Linked DNA regions of Oryctolagus cuniculus. The protein of the gene in region 1 binds, or shares a complex with, the protein of each later gene. Links are inferred from orthologs where the notes say so. Each region holds a gene or a part of one and is shown in the gene's direction. Other genes may lie near its edges. The genes, in order: ERCC2 and POLR2G.

Evidence for each region.
Region 2: ERCC2 (region 1) and POLR2G share a complex: the UniProt entries of both Homo sapiens proteins name them as parts of the TBP-based Pol II pre-initiation complex. The link is inferred for Oryctolagus cuniculus from reciprocal best matches to the Homo sapiens genes ERCC2 and POLR2G.

Annotation. Positions count from the first base shown.
Region 1 is NC_091449.1:11,485,347-11,489,144, forward strand, and holds part of ERCC2 (general transcription and DNA repair factor IIH helicase subunit XPD), read left to right. Parts: intron 1-553; coding exon 554-623; intron 624-694; coding exon 695-764; intron 765-859; coding exon 860-961; intron 962-1,470; coding exon 1,471-1,534; intron 1,535-1,716; coding exon 1,717-1,838; intron 1,839-2,320; coding exon 2,321-2,413; intron 2,414-2,488; coding exon 2,489-2,561; intron 2,562-2,642; coding exon 2,643-2,713; intron 2,714-2,797; coding exon 2,798-2,941; intron 2,942-3,039; coding exon 3,040-3,183; intron 3,184-3,275; coding exon 3,276-3,368; 3' UTR 3,369-3,400; intron 3,401-3,445; exon of another isoform or gene 3,446-3,533; coding exon of another isoform or gene 3,534-3,605; intron 3,606-3,677; coding exon of another isoform or gene 3,678-3,747; intron 3,748-3,753; 3' UTR 3,754-3,798. Other genes in the region: KLC3 (kinesin light chain 3), read right to left, coding at 3,534-3,605, 3,678-3,747. UniProt on the Homo sapiens protein: ATP-dependent 5'-3' DNA helicase. Component of the general transcription and DNA repair factor IIH (TFIIH) core complex, not absolutely essential for minimal transcription in vitro.
Region 2 is NC_091432.1:8,823,540-8,827,926, reverse strand, and holds the start of POLR2G (DNA-directed RNA polymerase II subunit RPB7), read left to right. Parts: upstream 1-1,432; 5' UTR 1,433-1,572; coding exon 1,573-1,584; intron 1,585-1,698; coding exon 1,699-1,808; intron 1,809-2,614; coding exon 2,615-2,774; intron 2,775-3,781; coding exon 3,782-3,832; intron 3,833-4,201; coding exon 4,202-4,267; intron 4,268-4,372; coding exon 4,373-4,387. UniProt on the Homo sapiens protein: Core component of RNA polymerase II (Pol II), a DNA-dependent RNA polymerase which synthesizes mRNA precursors and many functional non-coding RNAs using the four ribonucleoside triphosphates as substrates.

The DNA of each region.
Region 1 (3,798 bases):
AGAGCCACAAGACTGCCTTCCGAGACCTGGCTGGAGGGGAAGCTGGTGGGCGGGACCCCCAGCGCTGGTGCCTACAGGGCGCGGGGGGCTCTGGGCGGAGTCAGGCCTCAAGCAACCCGTGGAGCTGCCTCGGCCAGGGGCCAGCGTGTGCAAAGGCCCTGGGGGAGTGAGCTTCCGGGTCAGGCAGGCAGTTGTGAGCAACCAGGAAGGGGGGTCGGCATAGGGGCCCCACAGGCCATCCTGGACCCTGAGAGGAGCGTGGAGCCACGGCCGGCTCCTGAGCAGGGCGGGCACGACCCGGGGGTCCTGCAGGACGCCGGCACTGAGCCCGGGTGGGAGGTGGCGGCTTGGGCATGTGCAGGAGCGAGGCCCTGGACCCCGGGGGAGTACAGGAGCGAGGCTGGGTGCTGCCCTTTTGGGATCCCCCCGTGAGCCTGTGCAGGAGCCGCCCTGGGGCTCAGGGGGTGGAGTCTGGTTCCTGACGGACAGGTCAGGTGCGGCGGTGACCACGCCCGCAGCCCAGGGTCTCACCGCCCGCGCTCGCCTGCTGCAGGCTTCACCATCATCATCGAGCCCTTCGACGACCGGACCCCCACCATCGCCAACCCCGTCCTGCACTTCAGGTGAGTGCCCGCCTGGGCGGGGGCCCCGGCCCCTCGGACCCAGTGCTCACGGCCCCGCCTGCTCCCCACAGCTGCATGGACGCCTCGCTGGCCATCAAACCTGTGTTCGAGCGCTTCCAGTCGGTCATCATCACGTCGGGGGTGAGGACGCTGGCCCCGCCAGCCCCGCCCCACTGAGGCCCCGCCTCCCGTCCCCTCGGCCCCGCCCCGCTGAGGCCCCTCCTGTCCCTGTCCAGACGCTGTCCCCGCTGGACATCTACCCCAAGATCCTGGACTTCCACCCCGTCACCATGGCAACCTTCACCATGACGCTGGCCCGGGTCTGCCTCTGCCCCATGGTGCGTAGGGAGAGCGGGCTAGGGGCCCACCCCAACCTGGGCTCGGCCTGGGAGTGCCCCGAGGACTCGGGCAGGGAGCCCAGTAAGAGCCAAGTGGCCCTGGCCCGGGTCTGCTCCTCTGCGCCTCCTGACGCGGTCCCCAGCCCTGGCCTGGCGCCCAGCATGTGTTGAGCCCAGGGCTCACCGGGAGGAGGAGGCCTTTCGGAGTGTGTGTGCCTCAGCCCCTCCCGTGTGCCAATGGCAGGGGGCTGAGAAGCGGCCCGAGGGGCCTGGGGAGGCCTCTGCGTGGACCCCGGGCCGGTGCTGCCCTTAAACTGTGTGCCAAGCTCCAAACGAGCAGGGGACTTGGCCCTGTCCTTTGGAGGCCGTGGCCAGTCCTGAGCCCACGCACAGCTGTAGCGTTCCCACTGGGTGGGCGTGAATAGGAGTGACGGGGCCGGGATCGCGCCTGGTGCCCGCAGTGCAGGCGAAGGGGTGGCTGCTTCCCCTCCTCCTCTCACTCACCCCAGATCGTCGGCCGCGGCAACGACCAGGTGGCCATCAGCTCCAAGTTCGAGAGCCGGGAAGACATGGGTAGGCGCCTGCGCGGTGGCTGCGGGGTCCCCAGGCCCCCCCGGGGGGGGGCGCTCCACTGTAGGCACCCTAACTTGAGGGCTGGGAGGGGTGGGAGGTATGAACGGCCCTTGAGCTGGCCTTGGCAGGGTTTCTGGGCACCCCGAGTTCAGGGGGCGGGGCCAACGTGTGACCCCGCGCAGCGGTGATCCGGAACTACGGGAACCTGCTGCTGGAGATGTCGGCCGTGGTCCCCGACGGCATCGTGGCCTTCTTCACCAGCTACCAGTACATGGAGAGCACCGTGGCCTCGTGGTACGAGCAGGTAGGCACCCCCGGCCTGCCGGGGGACTGCCCCGTGCTGCTCGGGGGCACCTGGTGCAGCTCGCAGCACTGGGTGGAGCAAACCTCTCTGGGGAGGAGAGAACCTGGCCGAGCATGTACCAGGGGATGGCGGGAGAAGGCCACTCATCGCCCGCGGCCGGGACCGTGGCCTTGTCCTCGGGCAGGGTGGCTGCAGCCCCAAGGTCTGCTCTCACCGCGGCCCTCTGGGTCCCCTGACACCTCGGCTGCCCTGGGGCTCCTGGCTCAGCCAGCTAGTGCACGTGGGGGGTGGGTTTCCTGCGGGAATCCCAGTGTAGCCTCTGATTGGCTCTGTCGGGCTTTCAGTCAGCCGCTCCACCAATCACTGGCCAGGGATGTCCTGATAGACACCCCGCGGCCGGCCACAGATTTGTCCGAGGGGCGGGGCGAGCTGCATGGCGGGGGCGGCGGCCGGGCCCTGACCTCGCGGGCGTCCTGGCTCAGGGCATCCTTGAGAACATCCAGAGGAACAAGCTGCTCTTCATCGAGACCCAGGACGGCGCCGAGACCAGCGTCGCGCTGGAGAAGTACCAGGAGGTGAGCGGGCCGGGCGGGCGGGCGGGCACCCAGCAGGGGGCGCCAGGCCGCGGCTCACGCCTCCCCCGCCCCCAGGCCTGCGAGAACGGCCGCGGGGCCATCCTGCTCTCGGTGGCCCGGGGCAAGGTGTCCGAGGGCATCGACTTCGGTGAGTGGACCGCTGTGTTCGGGCAGGGGCCACCCCCGTGCCCCTGCCGGCGCCGTGCCTAACCCCTCGCCCGGCCCGCAGTACACCACTACGGGCGAGCCGTCATCATGTTCGGCGTCCCCTACGTCTACACGCAGAGCCGCATCCTCAAGGTGGGTGCCGCGGGCCGCGGGGCAGGGGCGGCGCGGGCCGGGCCGCGGGCGGGGCAGCGGCCAGCTCGCGGCCTCCTCGCCCAGGCGCGGCTGGAGTACCTGCGGGACCAGTTCCAGATCCGGGAGAACGACTTCCTCACCTTCGACGCCATGCGCCACGCGGCCCAGTGCGTGGGCCGGGCCATCCGGGGCAAGACCGACTACGGCCTCATGGTGTTCGCAGACAAGGTCTGCCCCGCGCCTCCAGAGCGGGAGAGGGAGGTGGCGGGGCAGAGGGCGGCTGGGCCCCCGCCCCCCGCCTGACGCCGCCCTCCTCTTGCTCCAAGCGGTTTGCGCGGGCCGACAAGCGGGGGAAGTTGCCGCGCTGGATCCAGGAGCACCTGACGGACGCCAACCTGAACCTGACTGTGGACGAGGGTGTCCAGGTCGCCAAGTACTTCCTGCGGCAGATGGCACAGCCCTTCCACCGGGTACGGCCCGGCCACCCCTCCTCCAGGAAGGGCCCTGGGATGTCTCCCTGCCAGTGCCAATGTTTGCAAACAGCCGTCCCTGGCCCCTGCAGGAGGACCAGCTGGGCCTGTCCCTGCTCAGCCTGGAGCAGCTGGAATCCGAGGAGACGCTGCGGCGGATTGAGCAGATCGCGCAGCAGCTGTGAGCCTGGACCGCCAGCGCCTGGCAGGCCTTGAGGTGCCTCCCGCGCTCCCCGGGCCCTGCAGGAAGCTCAGGCCGATGCCTCAGGGACTGCAGAGCCTTTAATCGCAGGGGGTCCCCGCCCCGCCCCCCGAGTCCTGCTGAGACGCCAGGCCCACGTGATCCGGCCTCACCGGGGGCTCAGGTCCTGGGTGCTGGTGCTGAGGCTCCTCGGGGCCTCGCTCAGGCGCCAGCTGCGGCCCTGGGGACAGCAGGGGCGGTTGGAGGGGGAGGAGGGGCGGGCACAGCTCCCCACCCCCGCCCGGCCCCTCACCTGCGGCTGAGCGCCCGCAGCCCGGGGCCCGTCCGTGGGCAGCGTGTTGAGCGACACGGCTCTCTTCATCCTGCAGGGAGCCACAGGACACGGTGTCTCCCGGGGGCCGGCCGTGGGGGCC
Region 2 (4,387 bases), on another chromosome or scaffold:
TGTTGTCTTGCTTATCACTAATCTCTGTCTCTTGCTTGAATTTTTTTTTATGGGAGGACAAGGACCTCTATACCAGCCATCTCCACTTACAAAATTATGGCAGTGACTGAAAACATCTTTAGTATGTTTTTATCAAAAATTTTCTTTAAAGATTTATTTATTCATTTGAAAGGCAGAGTTACAGAAAGAGTGAGAGAGAGAGAGAGAGAGAGAGAGATGTTCCATCTGCTGGTTCACTCCCCAAATGGCCACAATGACCAGGCTAGCTCAGGCCAAAGTAGGGAGCCAGGAGCTTCCTCTGGGTCTCCCACAGGCCCCTGTTTCAGGGGCCCAAGGACTTGCTGCCTTCTCAGGTACATTAGCAGGGAGCTGGATCAGAAGTAGAGCTGGGGCCAGCACTCCAGCCGTTGCCGCCATTTTGGGACTGAACCAGCAGATGGAAGGCCTTTCTTGCTGTCTCTCCTTCTCACTTTCTGTAACTCTACCTCTCAAAATAAATAAATAAATAAATAAATAAAATCTTAAAAAAAAAAGTGGAGCTGCCAGGACTTGAATCGGCATCCATATTGGATGCCAGTGCTGCAGGTCATGACTTTATCCCACTGCACCACAACGCCAGCCGCCAACAATTTTTTTAAAAAATATTTATTTAATTATTTGTAAGTCAGAGTTACAGTGAGAGAGAAAGGAACAAGTCTTCTATCCACTGGTTCACTCCCCAAAGGGTACAACGATGAGGCCTGGGCCAGGCCAAAGCTGGGAACCAGGGGCTTCTTCCAGGTCTCCTCTGTGGGTGCAGGGCCCCAAGCACTTGGGTCGTTTTCCACTGCTTCTCGCAGGCTTTTGGAAGGGATTTGGATCAGAAGTGGAGCAGGGGCTGGCGTTGTGGCATAGCGGGTAAAGCCGCGGCTTCCATTGCCGGCATCCCATATGGGCGCCAGTTCGAGTCCCAGCTGCTCCACCTCTGATCCAGCTCCCTGCTATGGCCTGGGAAAGCAGTGGAAGATGGCCTGAGTCCTCGGGCCCTGCACCCACGTGGGAGACCCTGAGTAGGCTCCTGGCTTCAGATTGGGCCAGCTCCGGCCTTCGCGGCCATTTGGGGAGTGAACCAGGGGATGGAAGACCTCTCTCTCTCTACTTCTCTCTAACTCTGCCTCCCAAATAGATAAAACCTTGAAAAAAAAAAAAAGGCTACTATCCACCTAGATACTTAACACCACATTGACTATGGGAAAGCAGTCTGTAAAATACTTGCTGAATGACTCCGCTGTTAAAATAATTATGTCATCTTTCACCAGGAATTAATTCAGTTTAAAATATTCAGTTCACAAATACTTTAAGTTACTTGGCGGAGCGGGCAAGGTTTGAGCGCCAGTCGGAGGAACCGAGGGGCGGAGCTTCATCAATCCTCCACAGGGAGGCCCAATCGTATCCATCGACTGGAAGGAGTCCCGCCCACTTCCGGCGGACCCGGAAGCGAGGGGCGGCTGCGCGGCGTGCGCTTCCGGTGAAGCCAGTGGGTCGGTGTTTGTAGCGCTGGTGGCGGCTTGTTTTAGAGTCTCGTCGGGGAAGATGTTCTACCACGTGAGCAGGGCGCGGGGTGATGGCGAGGGCTGGGTCGAGAGGAGGAACGGGGCGCCGGTGCGGAGGGCTGCTGCTTGCCCCGTATCCTCCGTCTGCGTTCCGCTGTCTCCGCAGATCTCCCTGGAGCACGAGATCCTGCTGCACCCGCGCTACTTTGGCCCTAACTTGCTCAACACCGTGAAGCAGAAGCTCTTCACCGAGGTGGAGGGGACTTGCACTGGCAAGTGAGTACTGTGGCCGTGCGTGTGGTCTCGGCGGCGCGCACACGGGACCCTGTACCTGCAGCCGCCCCCCTCCCAGCGTGGGCTGCAGCACCTTGCCACCCACGCTGGGGAGCGCTCCGTAACTTCCTTCAGCCTAGATTTCTCATTCTTTTACTGCGCGTTTTTCGAGCTCCTGCTGTGAGCCGGGCCCCGTGTTGGGCCCTGGGAACATGCAGAGAACAAGATGGAATGAGGCCAGCACGCGTGGGGCTCACAGTTTAACCCTTGTCCCTCGGTTTCTGCTGAGCCCAGGGAGTTGGCATGGCACAGTGTGTTTCCTGAGTGAATGACCAGAGAATGCGGGTCGACGGGGTGAGGAAGGAAGGAGGCTGGGGCTTGACTGTCCTTGGGTTCTTCCCAGAGCGGTAGGAGTGGACTGGAACTCAGCTCGGGGCCGGGCGGTACTTGAGCCTACAGCAAAGCCAGATTACCCTGGATGCACGTTCGTTCCTAAGACTCCTCACATCTCTGGGGCAGGCCTGGGACTCTGCCTGCTCACACGCTCCTCCCAGGTGATTCTGAGGCAGCTCGAAGATTGAGGTCAGAGACTGCAGCCACTTCGGATGTTTGTTGTGAAACAGGAGAGCAGCGCGTGGCCTTTACAGATGCTGATCCCTGCCCTTTCTCTTGGTTCTGAAGCGCTCTGGGGGCAGAGATGCTGTCTGCTTCCCCTCTTAACCCCTTCCCAGGCTCGATGACTCTTGCTGCAGATGGCGTTAGAGGCCCTTCCGCATATAGAACCTTTCTCTTTCTCATCCTCCTCACAGGTATGGCTTCGTCATTGCTGTCACCACCATAGACAACATCGGCGCAGGAGTGATTCAGCCAGGCCGAGGCTTTGTGCTTTATCCTGTTAAGTACAAGGCCATTGTTTTCCGGCCCTTTAAAGGTGAGGTCGTGGATGCAGTTGTCACTCAGGTCAACAAGGTGAGTCCTCACATAGAGGAGGCAACGGGGTGGTCCCTGGGAGGAGCTGGTTTGGGTCCCTGCTCCTCTTGCTAACTCTGTGCCTTTGGCTAAGTCACTTTTTTGTACTTCAGTTTCCTCACTTGGCAAATGGTTCTAGGAATCTTGGTCCTGCCTCACTCAGGAGGCACGTGATTCAGTATTAATAGTCGTAAGGGTAGAGTCCTGGGGCCAGCGCTGTAGCCCAGCGGGTTAAATCCATGACATACGGCACCGACATTCCATATGGGTGCAGGTTCAAGTCCCGGCTGTTCCGCTTTCCATCTAGCTCCCTACTAATGCTCCTGGGAAAGTGGTGGAGGATGGTCCAAGTCCTTGGGCCCCTGCACCCATGTAGGAAACTCAGAGGAAGTTCTTGGCTCCTGGCTTTTGCCTGACCCAGCCCTAATCATTGCAGCCATTTGGAGAGTGACCCAGCAGATGAAAGATTCTCTCTCTCTCTCTCTCTCAAGTCCTAGGTGTAGGCTCTTTACTACTGCACTGTTTTTACTTAACTTAAAATGAAAGATTGGTGCTGGCATTGTGGTGCAGTGGGTTAGGCTTACTTACATTCCAGTATTGTTGAGTATCAGTGTGCCGGTTGGCATCCAGGTGCTGTTTCCTGTGCTACTTCCTGCTAATGTGCCTGAGAAAGCAGTGGAAGATGACCCACGTGCTGGGGCCTTGCCACCCACGTGGGAGACCTGGCTGGTATTCTGGGGTCTTGGGTACAGTCCCAGCCACTGGGGCCATTTAGGGACTGAACCATTGGACAAAAGATCTGATTCTCTGTTTTTTCTGTCACTCTGCGTTTCAGGTACATAAAATAGCTAAATACATAATGAAATGTTAATAAAAAAGAGAAGTGCAAACAAATGCCACAATTCATACCGGTCATAGAACATGAGTAAAATTGTAGGAATCAAGTAAAAATGGGAACAAAAGACTTGGAGGGGAAGAAAAAGCGAAATCATTCGTTTTCCTTGTAGGTTGGACTCTTCACAGAAATTGGGCCAATGTCTTGCTTCATCTCTCGACACGTAAGTCTGGGACACCGGGTAGGCTGGGACACCGGGTAGGGGCTAGAAAGATGCGCCCGTTTGTGGTCATCTACTGAAGCATCTGTTGAAAGTGCTGACCCTCCTGGGTTCTATACTCATCTCTGGCTGCTGACTCCAGCCTCTGCTAATGTGCACCCTACGAAGGCGGTTGGTGATGGCTCAAGTGACTGGGTCCCTGCTGCCCTGGTGGGAGACCTGGACGGAGTTCCCAGCTCCTGGCTCTGGCCCCAGGCTTGGGCCACTGTGGGCATTTGGAGAGTAAATCAGCGGATGGGTATTCTCTGCCTCCCAAAGAAGTGTATAGATAAGGAAATGACAGTGTTGACCTACTTTGACTTTTCCTTTCAGTCTATCCCATCAGAGATGGAGTTTGATCCCAATTCCAACCCACCATGCTACAAGACAATGGATGAGGTGAGTGGGGAGGAAGACGTCAGGCAGAGGGAGGAGAGATCAGGGCACTGGGAGGGAGAGTTGGCCTGGACGTGTCTTGAGGACCCTGTTCCCTCCTCTGCCCAGGACATTGTGATTCAG